Cricetulus griseus: one gene and its partners. The main gene of each other region encodes a partner of the protein of the gene in region 2 in a complex. Links are inferred from orthologs where the notes say so. Each region holds a gene or a part of one and is shown on either strand. Other genes may lie near its edges.

Region 1 (4,283 bases), on a different chromosome or scaffold from region 2:
ACATTTAAAAATGGAAACTGAGCCAGGCATGGTGGCACAATCCCAGCACTCAGGAATCAGAGGCAGAGGCAGAGACAGAGGCCTGTGAGTTTTCGGCCAGCCTGACAGTCTACAGAGTAAGTTCCAGGATAGTCACGGCCACACAAAGAAACCTTGTCTCGAAAAACCAAAAAGATAGAAATAATTAAAATAGAAACTGATAACAACAAATGCCATGGAAGCGCAACCTTATTTGGCTTTCACATCAATTCAGTGAACTAGAAATGACTGTCTGTACTTTATTGATAAGGAAATGGAAGATGGAAGTAGTGGAGCTGAGAAGTAAAAGTTCAGTATATAGTCATGGCTGTCCTAACTGGCTATGTAGACCAGGCTAGCCTCAAACTCACAGAGGTCTCCTGCCTCTGCCTCCTAAATGCTGGGATTAAGTGTGTGTACCACCAGACCCAATACTCCACAGTCTTTCTGTCACACCAAAATCTAGGTTACTATGTAATCATTTTCTAGGCCTTAAAAAAGCTACATTTGCAGGGTGTGGTGGTACATACCTTTAATTCCAACACTGAGGAGGCAGAGGAGGTGGATGTCATCTGTGAGTTTGAGACCAGCTTGGTCTACATAGTCCAGGCCAACCAGGACTACAAAGTGAGACCCTGTCTCAAATAAATAAACAACTGCAGTTCACAAGCTTCCACTCACTGCTCTCACTAAGTAATCAAGCCAGTTGTTTGAAATTTTTTTCAAATTTTTTAGAGACAGGGTCTCCAGCCCAGGTTGGTCTCAGATTTGATGTGCAGCCAATGGTGTTCTTGAACTCCTCATCCTCCTGCCTCATCTCCCGAGTTCTGGAATTACAGACACAAACCATCACACCCAGTTCTGGTTGTGTGAATTCTAAGTGCAGTAATGTCTTTTTCTAGCAGTAAAATAAAGACCATTCTATGTACTACTTATCTATTTAGTCCCTCCTTTACCACCGCCTCACCTGGAAGGCCTGTCATCTGTGGGGTTGTATTCACCATCATCCAAGGTACCATCTTCATACAAAGTACTAGCTATGACCAATCGGAACTTGTCACCTGAAAAGAGCATCAAGCGGAAACCAAAGATAAAAATCACTTGCTAAAGCCAGTCGTTGGCAGCACATGCTTTTAATCCCAGTACTCAGGAGGCAGAGGCAAGCGGATCTCTGTGAGTTCGAGACCAGCCTGTTCTACAAGAGCTAGTTCCAGGACAGCCTCCAAAGCCATAGAGAAAACCTGTCTCGAAAAACAAACAAACAAACAAAAAAATTCACTTGCTAGCTCCTGTGTTGGACACTTACCCAAGTCCACTGGGTAAATCTGAATGTTCACGTCTAAGATGAGGTCCATCTTGAAAGATTCACTCTCACAGTGCAGCCGAGATACTGGGAAAGAGCGACAGACATAATTACAGGCAACAGAGTCGGGGTCGAATGCAGGAGAACAAATCTTTCAACTAGTCCACAGCCATTAGCCTTGCTCTGGGACACAGACACAGAGTGCAATCCAAATCAGATTCAGAGAAGAAAGGGAGTAAACACCTCAGCAAGTGTCAGGATCCCAAGAAAGAAGCAGAACTTCTCTGGCAGCAACCCGTCTCTAGGCTCTAAGCACACCTGGATGATTTAGACTAAACTCAACTCTGAACAAGATAGTCATTAGTCCAGAGATCCCCACTTCCTAGTAGGCACTCTGCGGAGGGAATAGGCAGGGTGTATTGAGAACTGACACCTGTCTTTAAAAATGGGGGGGGCACGCCTTTAATCCCAGCACTTGGGAGGCAGAGGCAGGTGGATCTCTGAGTTCAAGGCCAGTCTGGTCTACAAAGCAAGTTCCAAGACAGCCAGAGCTACAAAGAGAATCTGTATTGGGGGGGGGGGGGTCTGTCTCCAGGTAAAGTGACACTGAGAAGAAACAACTTCCGGATTACTGGGAAATGAATACACCAAGCAGTCAGCTGCATGAAATTTATAGAGGACTCGGCAAAGGGCTAACAATTCTTGGGGCAATACAAAACTATGGGTTAGGAAGACAGGGAGGTAACTCGCTGCACGGCCTTAAGTAACAAAATAGATCGGGCACCATCACTTCTTACTACAATACTTAAGTGTGCGAGAGAGGCGCACGGTACATACAGCACGTAATACTGAATAAGGAGTCAGAAAGGTGTCCAGGGCTTTCCCAACCCCAAAGCCAAGGGCCACCGAGGCACCAGACACCGCAAACATCATAGGAAAAGCTGTCCCAAGTTTCTCATTATGAAAAACACTGTTTCCTGAGGGAGGTACCGAGAGGGTGGGACGGGCCACTTGGGGTGGGTGGGCATGTTTGGCCTCTTCCTCACCTCCCCTACACACCTTACCTCGGTCAAATTTCTTGCCTTCTGGGTCAATGTCTTTCACATCAAAAATATCCTCGAACAGGATGCCCGCCATCGTAAGGGGCACGAGAACTGCAGAGGTGCGGAGCGCGCGGCCACCACTGGGAATTCGCGCACCCCCTCACGTGGAGAAAAGAAGACAGGGCAGAGTACCGCCCCAAAAAGCGGCAACCAGCCGCAGGGCGCATGCGCACAGGCTTCAGCAACGCAGCCACTTCCGCTGCCTCCCCTCGGGGCTCCTTCACTTCCGCCGGGAAAGGCCACCTCGGAGTGGCTCGGACCTTGTGGGCGAGTCTCAAAGCGCGGTGACTCCGCCCAAGGCGGGGACAGACTAAGTCCCACCCCCGGCGGGTACCGCGATGCGCCCGGCTCTAGGGCGCCCTCTTCAGACCCCGGATCCCGATGCTTGGAAGGCTCCGGGACCGGACCCAGCCAGGAACCTTGATCCTTGGCCCAGAGGGAGCCCGGCCCTAGCCCTTCCCTGCGGTCCGCGTGCCCGCCGAGGGCACAGTCCGTGCTGCAGGAGGGTGAAGCCGAACTCCACCCGCAGAGCGCCCGCCCAGCGGGACGCAGTGCCCAGCCCCTCGGACGGCCACCAAGGTTCCCCACGCTGGTCCGAGCTGGCTCTGACCAGCTAGACGTCACCCGAGCCGGGTCCGTCCGGTTTGGGAATTTGCCGTGATGTCACTGTCAGGGAAAGGAAAGCCCGCATTGTGCCCTCGCCTGGGGCTTCACCTCCTCGCCACGCCGGTCTTCCCTTGGCCCTGCTTGGCACTAACTCTGATCCCCTAGAACACTGCCAATTGAACTTGGTACTGCCTGTCACCCCACTACACTACCCTCTTCTGGACACTGATCCAGTGCGCTTCCACCCGACACTGGCCTTTCCCTGGGAAACGACAGCTCGCAGCGCGCTCTTTCCAGGTGCTATCTCCTTTCATCGCAGCCCCCGTACTGGGCACCGTACGCTCCCCTTGAGCACCACCCTCTGTTTGCTGAATGAGTCTTCATCCTGATGCTGTTCTTTCTACACGGATTTCTGGGCACCGTCCTCTCCAGTGGCACCAACCTAACGCTGTCCATCCTCTTTGTGCCAACGCCACACTGTTCTTATCCTTCCAAGGATCCCGAAAGACAACGTAGAGCTTCACTGGGCCGCTTCCTCGAGGCGTCAGCAGCTACTCAAGTTCCCCCTTTAAGCGATGCCTGGGAGGAGCGACCTCTGCTCCCCCACGCCCGCCTCCCAGGAGCAGCCTCCCCCGCACCAATAGCTCCCTTCCCTCGGGCCTCACCCCTTCCCGTCCCCTCCCACCTCCACCTCCGCCCCGATCTCCAGGCCTAGCAGTTCCAGGTGCACCTTCCCGGGGGAACCCGGAGGAAAAGAAGAAAGGAGGAAGGGAGGCGATAAGGGAGCGGGCTCTCAGGAATCCTCCCAGACCCGTCTGAGCCGCCAGCAAACGCGAAGCAGAGGCTGCCCCAGTCGAGTCTGGCCTGGAGAGCCCGAGATAGCTCGTCAGCAGCCCCCTGCCCCAGCCCTGGAGTCACTACATCCTCAGCCCCTCCCGCACAACGCTGCAGCCGCCCGAGAGCCCGTCCCCTCCACGTGCCAGCGGACCCGCCCCCGTCCGGCCCCGCACCCTCTCGGGGCCGGGTCAGCCCCCGGCCTCCCCAGAGAAGGGGTGCAAGATCGCGTTGCAAGCGCCCCCTGCCGCTTCTCCGGAGGCCAGGAGGCGGCTCCAATGCAGACCCCAGCCCGACCGGACGCCCCTGCAGATGGGCCAGGGCGGAGCAGCAAGCAGGGCACCGCCCTCGGCCCGCCCGCCAAGGAGGGGACGCTAGCGAGAGGCTGAGCCTGCGGCGCGCGCCCGGGGACCGTCGCA
Region 2 (3,500 bases):
GCACTTTTTAGTCATACAGACTTAACCAACCATAAAGACATCAGGTAGTCATGTCCAGTGGGCAGCTACACAGATGAATGAATATATGGGTTGGGCCCTCACTAGACAAGCCTGGGCAGTAATACAGAATCGGGAGTCTTCGGCACATAGATAATAATTAGAGTCTTGGGAGAAGATGATGTCATCTAGTGAGGGTGCAAAGCAAGGCAATATTCAACTCAGAATCACAAGTGGTTTTCATACCCGAGAAAAGCTTGGTTATTTGGTTAATGTGCCAAGTCAAAGGCACTATCATCATTAACTAGAAGCATTCTTTTTTGTTTTTGTTTTTGTTTTTGTTTTTGTTTTTCAAGACAGGGTTTCTCTGTGTAGCTTTGGAGCCTATCCTGGCACTCACTCTGGAGACCAGGCTGATAGAAGCATTCTATTTAATAAAAGGGCCAAGTGCCAATAATGATGATGATGACAAGGATGAGGGTGATAGGGAAAACTAAATAATCACAATTAGCCAGGGCTCTACTGACTTGCTCTAACTGCCAATGGCCAATGTGGCTAGAACCCTAAGATGCCATTATTAGTATAGCCCATTTTACCTAGAGGGAAGCAGAAACAGACATTTACTGACTTGCTCAACGTCATGTGAGGACGAATTGGCAGAGCCAGAAGTCTGGCTTCAAACTTGTGCCCTTGTAAGCATTCCATGTACTGATTAAATTCAATGTTATTATTCACAACACATATAAGGGAAGGGAGAAATGAACATATTAATGATTGTGGTCTGCCTAGTAAGTGACTGATTCTTATACACTCAGCTCATTAGTTATAAAACCCTGTACAACAGAGCTGGCTTTATCTCAGGCATTTACTTCTTTAGGCCAGTCTTTCTGTCTAAAATTCTCTAGATTACCTTGAAATATGTAAAAGCCTACTACTGCATTACAAGGTCTTTCTATAGTTTTGATATCAACTTTTCCTAATACACAGACTGCCTATATTTTAGTTTTTATAGCCACAATACATGGTTTTATATAACTGCTAAAGGCCATTTTGCTAGTAAAAGATCCCTGTTCATCTTTTCTTAGAAAAATACTTAAGATGTCTATACAACACTATTAATGTCAACTTTCTCTTCAAAGTACTTTATTCACATGAGATAATTAACTTTCTAATATCTCACGTGAACAGAACACTACCATTTCCACTGCATCAGTAAAGACTTGAATTATTAGACTTAAAGTCGATTAACTTCAAGAATGAGAACCCAAGCTCCATGCAGTGGGGTTAAGGGTCACTGTCAGTCTGACTGAATTTGAACTGGTCTAGGTTACACATCTACCTCAGGCATGTCTGGGGAAAAGTTCCCAGAGAGGTTTAACTAAAGGAAAATCCACTTTGTATGCAGGTGGCACTGCCCCACCCCCATGGACTAGGCCCTGAACCCAATACAGAAGAGAAATGGAATAAAGATAGTCACATCCCTTCCTCTACTCAGTGATCTGACATGAGCCCACTACCAGCACGGAGGACTGTATCCCCTTCCACCACAAGCCAGCACCAGTCTTCCCTCTCCTAAGTTTGTTGCTTTTGTCAGTTCTCTTTCACAAGGAGAAAAGTAACCCACACACTTCCCGAAGTCCGAGGTCTGTCCTGTAAAGTCAGGAATATCCAGAGGCTGCTCCTAAGTTCCCACAGATAACCATGAACAAATGATCAGGAAGTCAGCTCAGCTCACCTCAAAAGATCTGAAAGGGTAATTGTCTCTCTCTGCCAGAGCAAAGACAGGTAGCAGAGAGCAAGGGTCCTGGGCACAGTCATCTTCAGGACACCCTTCTCCTTCCACTCCGAGTATTCCACTCCATCCACAGATCCGGAACAGACATCTGCTGCTTCTTTAGGAACAAAGTAAGACTTTAAAAACCGAGTAACAAAACACGGGGCATTCAAGACAGATCATAACTGATTCACTTTGGATAAGCAATCTAGCAGTGAAAGTCCATGAAGGCTTTAGAAGGGAACCAGGCTAACAGGCATTTAGGGTTATCTATGGGAGCAGGGTGGAGTGAAATTCTGAAGAGATGTAAATTTGTAAATAGCCAACACAAACTGTTTTTAAAATAAAAGGATGAACAATTACAAAGAACACTGAAAGTATGTTAAGTCCTTGGTGTGATGTCCTCAGAGAGGCCTCTCCGGGAGCCCCTGAAGGAGGCAGTACCTTCTCCTACCCTCCACCCGCCAGGTTCCTCAAGTGGACACTGTCCATTCTACAAATAGGGATGGATCTCACTCTGAGCCACTCCCCTGGGTCTGGGGAAATGAGAGTGAATGATGCCTCCCCTCTCCTATAAATAAACAAACATCACAATGCACACAGGAAAGTGCTACTCAGGAAAATGGCAGTGCAGGGGCATCCAAAGGTAGGAGGGGCAAGTGGATGGCCAGAAAGACCTCCCTAAGAAGGTGGTATCTGAGCACAAACCTGATGAATTCTACCTTGAAGGAAAATCCCAACAGGCCAACAGCAGCAAAAAGGTGTGTATGTGTGTGTGTTAGTGTGGGTGGGTATGTGTGGATGTGTGTGTGCCTGTGTGCACGTGTGGGAGGGTTACAAATGACAAAAAGTAGCAGACTACAGTACAGACAGTGGAACTACACTGTGTGGAGCTTCAGGATCAGGGTCTTTACTTTGGATTACATTCTACATAAGGACAGAAGTTTATGGAGAGCTCTAACATGAGAGCAACATGTCCTTGCTCTTTGACTGGAACTACTATCCGGTCCACAGCAGAGATGAAATTACAGGAGGGCTGGGATGGGAAGAGGAGGTCTCTCTTTCAGGACAGAAGGACAAGAGCTTGGCTAGGAGCACTTGTTCTGCAGACGATGAAAAGTGGTCAGGTTTGAGGCAGATTTTGAAGGCAGAGTCAAGGGGCTTAGCAATGGCTGGTATAAGATATAAGAAAAACACAAGCATGATCCTAGGTTCTGGCTTATGCAACAAGAATGAAGACATTTGCCAAGACAAAGGAGATGGCAAAGGGGACAGTTTGCCAAAGAAATCAAGATGTCACACTGATCAGGTGTGGTGACACAAATCTATGTTTGTAATATTGTCAAGGTTGAGGCAGGAAGGTTGTGAGTCAGAGGCCAAGCTAGGCAGCATAGTGAGCTACTGTTTTAAAAGCACACACAGAGCTTCAGTGATGAGGATGAGGTCTTTCCAGGTACACGGATGAACAGCAGGTAAGCAGTTAACTAAGGAATCTACTGGCTGGAGAAGTGCGATTAGCTGTCTTCCCCTTTTGGGGATCAAATTTCTGATTTGGAACAGTAGTTCCAGAGTTAGCATTGTGGAGCCAGCAAGCTAGCTCAGCAGGCTAAGGTGTTTGCCACCAACTCTGGAGGTTCAAGTTCCAGGATGCACATGGTGGAAGGAGAGACTCTGACTCCTGAAAGTTGTCCTCTGAGCTCCATATGTGTGTTGGACACACACATGCACA
Region 3 (3,500 bases), on a different chromosome or scaffold from region 2:
GGTCTGCATGAACTGACTTGATTAAAACAAATGTCTTTAAAGAATTGGGGATGGGCATTTGCCTAGCATTTATGAGACTATGTTCTGTCACTACCATTACCAATTTAAAAAAAAAAAAAAAAAACTTTACATAGTCTCTTATTCCATATGCATATTGAATATGGCCACTAAAATGATGATTTATGAAGCCCAGTTCCAGGCATAGTTTTCATTAGTATGTTCTAAGGAGTTAAGAATAAATATTGTATTTATAAAATTGATGTATCATTTATTGTTTAATCTGTCTTTAATTAAAATTGGAACACAAAAATGATTACCTATGCTAAAAATGATTACACAATATGCTTATTGTGTCCAGTTCAATATTTGTGGCACTTTATGCTTGAGACATTGTGAAGGGTATAAAACTGAGAATATTTAAAAACCAGCATTGACCTAATAGTGCTGTATAAACACTGCTTAAGAAAGTATTCTCTGATAATACAATTTGCTTAGGAATTAGTTTTCTCTAGGTGTTCCCCCATACCAAAAACAAGTTCTTTCTACCTGGCCACTAACCAGGTTTATTGGTTTATTCATCAACCAATAAGAGAAACATATACACAGAAGGACATCACCACATCATCTCCTCTTTTCTAAATAAAAAGGGTTTTATCCTTAACATGGTAAAATTACATATAACAAAACAGTTATCAAGTAAGAACTATAGTTACAATATTTAGTCCATTAACATTTAGCAAGATTTAAAGAAAATATTCTATCTATCCTATCTTTGTGAGTCTAAAGTCTTATGTGTAACTTATCTTTTATCATAACTAAGGAAAACAGTAACTGTAACTATTTGTCTTCAACTCCATCAAAGACCATAGAAGGATAGTATATAAACTCTAGAATTGACAGAGACATCTCACTGCCTGGTCAATCACCCAAAGTTCCTCTATAACATTGGAACATCCATCTTCGGCCCATAGGCCATAGTGTGTCTGACAGACTTCTCAGTGAAACAGGAAATTTTAAACTGTCCTTCTGTATTGGCAGACATTTCCATGAAGCAGGAACCCTGCAGGACTGTCCCATTTTGTTTCAGCAGTTCAGCAGTCACTTTCCTGTGGGCACTGCATGTCCACCATATACGGTATACAGGCAAACAGTCCAGGCAAGAGCAGTTTCTTGCCCAAATAGTCATGTCAAAAGCAATAGGCTTTTGGGATTGAAAGATAAATATATTTCTCCAGGATAGATTTTGTGTGTGTATGTTTTGTGTGAATATGAAACCTATTTAAACTTAAAGCATTTTTCCCCCAAGCACAGCATCACTGTTTCATGGTGTGTGAAGATAACCCAGAAAATTAAAGGAGTTTCAAAAGAGAATTTGCAGAGGATGCTCTAGGAAAAGTCTGAGTACTGAAGACAGTGAGAACCATGGACCAGAACAACAGCCTTCCACCTTATGCTCAGGGCTTGGCCTCTCCACAGGTAACAACAGGAAGGGGGGACAAGAAGGGCTGACAGAGAAGGTGAAATTTAACCATCCAGTAATGGACATGGATTTGTATGTTTCTCAAGCTTGTTTTACTTTGTGAAAATTTATGCTGTGGATAGGCATAATGCCCCTTTGCTTGGGAGTTTATTTAGAAGACTGTTCCATCTTTGTGAACTGTAGAACATTTATTTCATTTGCTTCAGGAGGTTCCTTCTAGACCCTCTCGCAGTCACTTTCCTAGCCCAAGATGACAACCAAATCTGCTTTCCAAAATTAAACATGTTTTGATGTAAAATGTATGTGTGTATTTGCAATAGAATTAAACCTAAATTGTTACTAATTTAGTATAAATTTTGCCATTTTTTCTTTCTACTTCCACATAAATAATTACTAAATCTAACAATGTTTGTAAGACATAGAAGCATTATAGAAAAGGCAGTTAACAGTATTTTATAGGCTTTGTTGATTTTTGTTTTTAGTAGAATAAATAGCTCTTTGAAGTATCATAGAGTATACCATGAGCTTGTCATCTTGAACCTCTAGGTGACTTTGTGATCCATCATCCAAATGGTCACATGTTAAGCTAGAGGGTAACCCTCATATACTGGGTAGCACTTTAAAGGGACATGTACCTTTGATTTGTCCTTATGGTCTAGATATGCTTGGGAGGCTAAGCATCTTTCTTGTATATCATAAATAACAGATTAGAGATGCTAAAGTGCTCAGCTACTATATTCAGTACTACAGAAGAAAAGGGATGCATCTCAGGATAGCAGATTCTTCCCAATATTTAATGACCTATTATATTCAGCAAGCATCAGGTTTTACACTTTACCTGGGTTCCACTAGGAAAAGAACCTGTATTACTCAACATTAATGTCTTAAGCATTCTCTTTTTGCTTTCCACAGGGTGCCATGACTCCTGGAATTCCCATCTTTAGTCCAATGATGCCTTATGGCACTGGACTTACTCCACAACCTATTCAGAACACCAATAGTCTGTCTATTTTGGAAGAGCAACAAAGACAGCAGCAGCAGCAGCAACAGCAGCAGCAGCAGCAGTCTGTAGCAACTGCAGCAGCCTCAGTACAGCAATCTACATCTCAGCAATCCACACAGGGTGCCTCAGGCCAGACTCCACAGCTCTTCCATTCTCAAACTCTGACCACTGCACCATTGCCAGGCACCACCCCCTTGTACCCTTCACCAATGACCCCTATGACCCCTATCACTCCTGCCACACCAGCCTCTGAGAGCTCTGGGATCGTACCACAGCTGCAGTGAGTACCTCTTACCTTGTTTGCTCATGCCCTCTCCTCCCCTCCCCCAACGTGTGTGTGTGTGTGTGTGTGTGTGTGTGTGTGTGTGTGTGTGTGTGTGTGTGTGTGTGTGTGTGTGTGTGTGTGTGTGTGTGTGTGTGTGTGTGTGTGTGTGTTTTCCTTGTCCTCTGCACCAGAGGAAGCTTTCAGTGGTATTACACTATTTGCTTTCAGTCTTACTTAAGGAAGTGACCCAGTGGTAATTCTGTTACACTGCAGCTTCCTCGGCTTTTGGCAAGGAATTGAAGCTACAGTCAATGCTCTCAACAAAACCTTTCCTTAGAAATGGAATTGCTTGTGTTTATGTGTTTGAGTCACTGAAATGAAAACTGAGTTTCATCAATACTGTGGACATTTCCCTGTAGCTAATTGGCTGAGTCACAGTGCAGTTGTTTTCACAGGCTTGGCCATAATGTTAGCAGAGTTCTTAAGTCCAGATTTTTCTACAATTTCGCTGTGAGGGCTATATTTTATCTTTGGAATTTGTGTCTCTCTTTCAAAGTGAGGATAGCAGTTCTTGTCTTGATACATTTTTCTGCCTAAGTGAAGTAGTTCCCACGTGTGAAAAGGTAGGAGATACAGGCTTTTTTCTTTCTTCTGAAACAACCAAATCTAGATACTCCTTAGTAAGAAGTATGCAGCTTTACTTTAAGGAAGCTTATGTCCTGATTAAAGGGTTCATTGCAGATGACAACACA

What was found. Proteins that work in one complex are often made in the same cells at the same time.
Region 1: Taf1b (region 2) and Polr2h share a complex: the UniProt entries of both Homo sapiens proteins name them as parts of the pol I pre-initiation complex. The link is inferred for Cricetulus griseus from reciprocal best matches to the Homo sapiens genes TAF1B and POLR2H.
Region 3: Taf1b (region 2) and Tbp share a complex: the UniProt entries of both Homo sapiens proteins name them as parts of the transcription factor SL1/TIF-IB complex. The link is inferred for Cricetulus griseus from reciprocal best matches to the Homo sapiens genes TAF1B and TBP.

What each region holds. Positions count from the first base shown.
Region 1 is NC_048597.1:67,932,157-67,936,439, forward strand, and holds the start of Polr2h (DNA-directed RNA polymerases I, II, and III subunit RPABC3), read right to left. Parts: upstream 2,801-4,283; 5' UTR 2,459-2,800; coding exon 2,386-2,458; intron 1,409-2,385; coding exon 1,325-1,408; intron 1,080-1,324; coding exon 986-1,079; intron 1-985. UniProt on the Homo sapiens protein: DNA-dependent RNA polymerase catalyzes the transcription of DNA into RNA using the four ribonucleoside triphosphates as substrates.
Region 2 is NC_048600.1:27,151,102-27,154,601, forward strand, and holds part of Taf1b (TATA box-binding protein-associated factor RNA polymerase I subunit B), read right to left. Parts: intron 1,890-3,500; coding exon 1,733-1,889; intron 1-1,732. UniProt on the Homo sapiens protein: Component of RNA polymerase I core factor complex that acts as a GTF2B/TFIIB-like factor and plays a key role in multiple steps during transcription initiation such as pre-initiation complex (PIC) assembly and postpolymerase recruitment events in polymerase I (Pol I) transcription.
Region 3 is NC_048595.1:294,445,530-294,449,029, forward strand, and holds part of Tbp (TATA-box-binding protein), read left to right. Parts: intron 1-1,306; exon of another isoform or gene 1,307-1,311; 5' UTR 1,312-1,422; coding exon 1,423-1,476; intron 1,477-2,392; coding exon 2,393-2,763; intron 2,764-3,500. UniProt on the Homo sapiens protein: The TFIID basal transcription factor complex plays a major role in the initiation of RNA polymerase II (Pol II)-dependent transcription.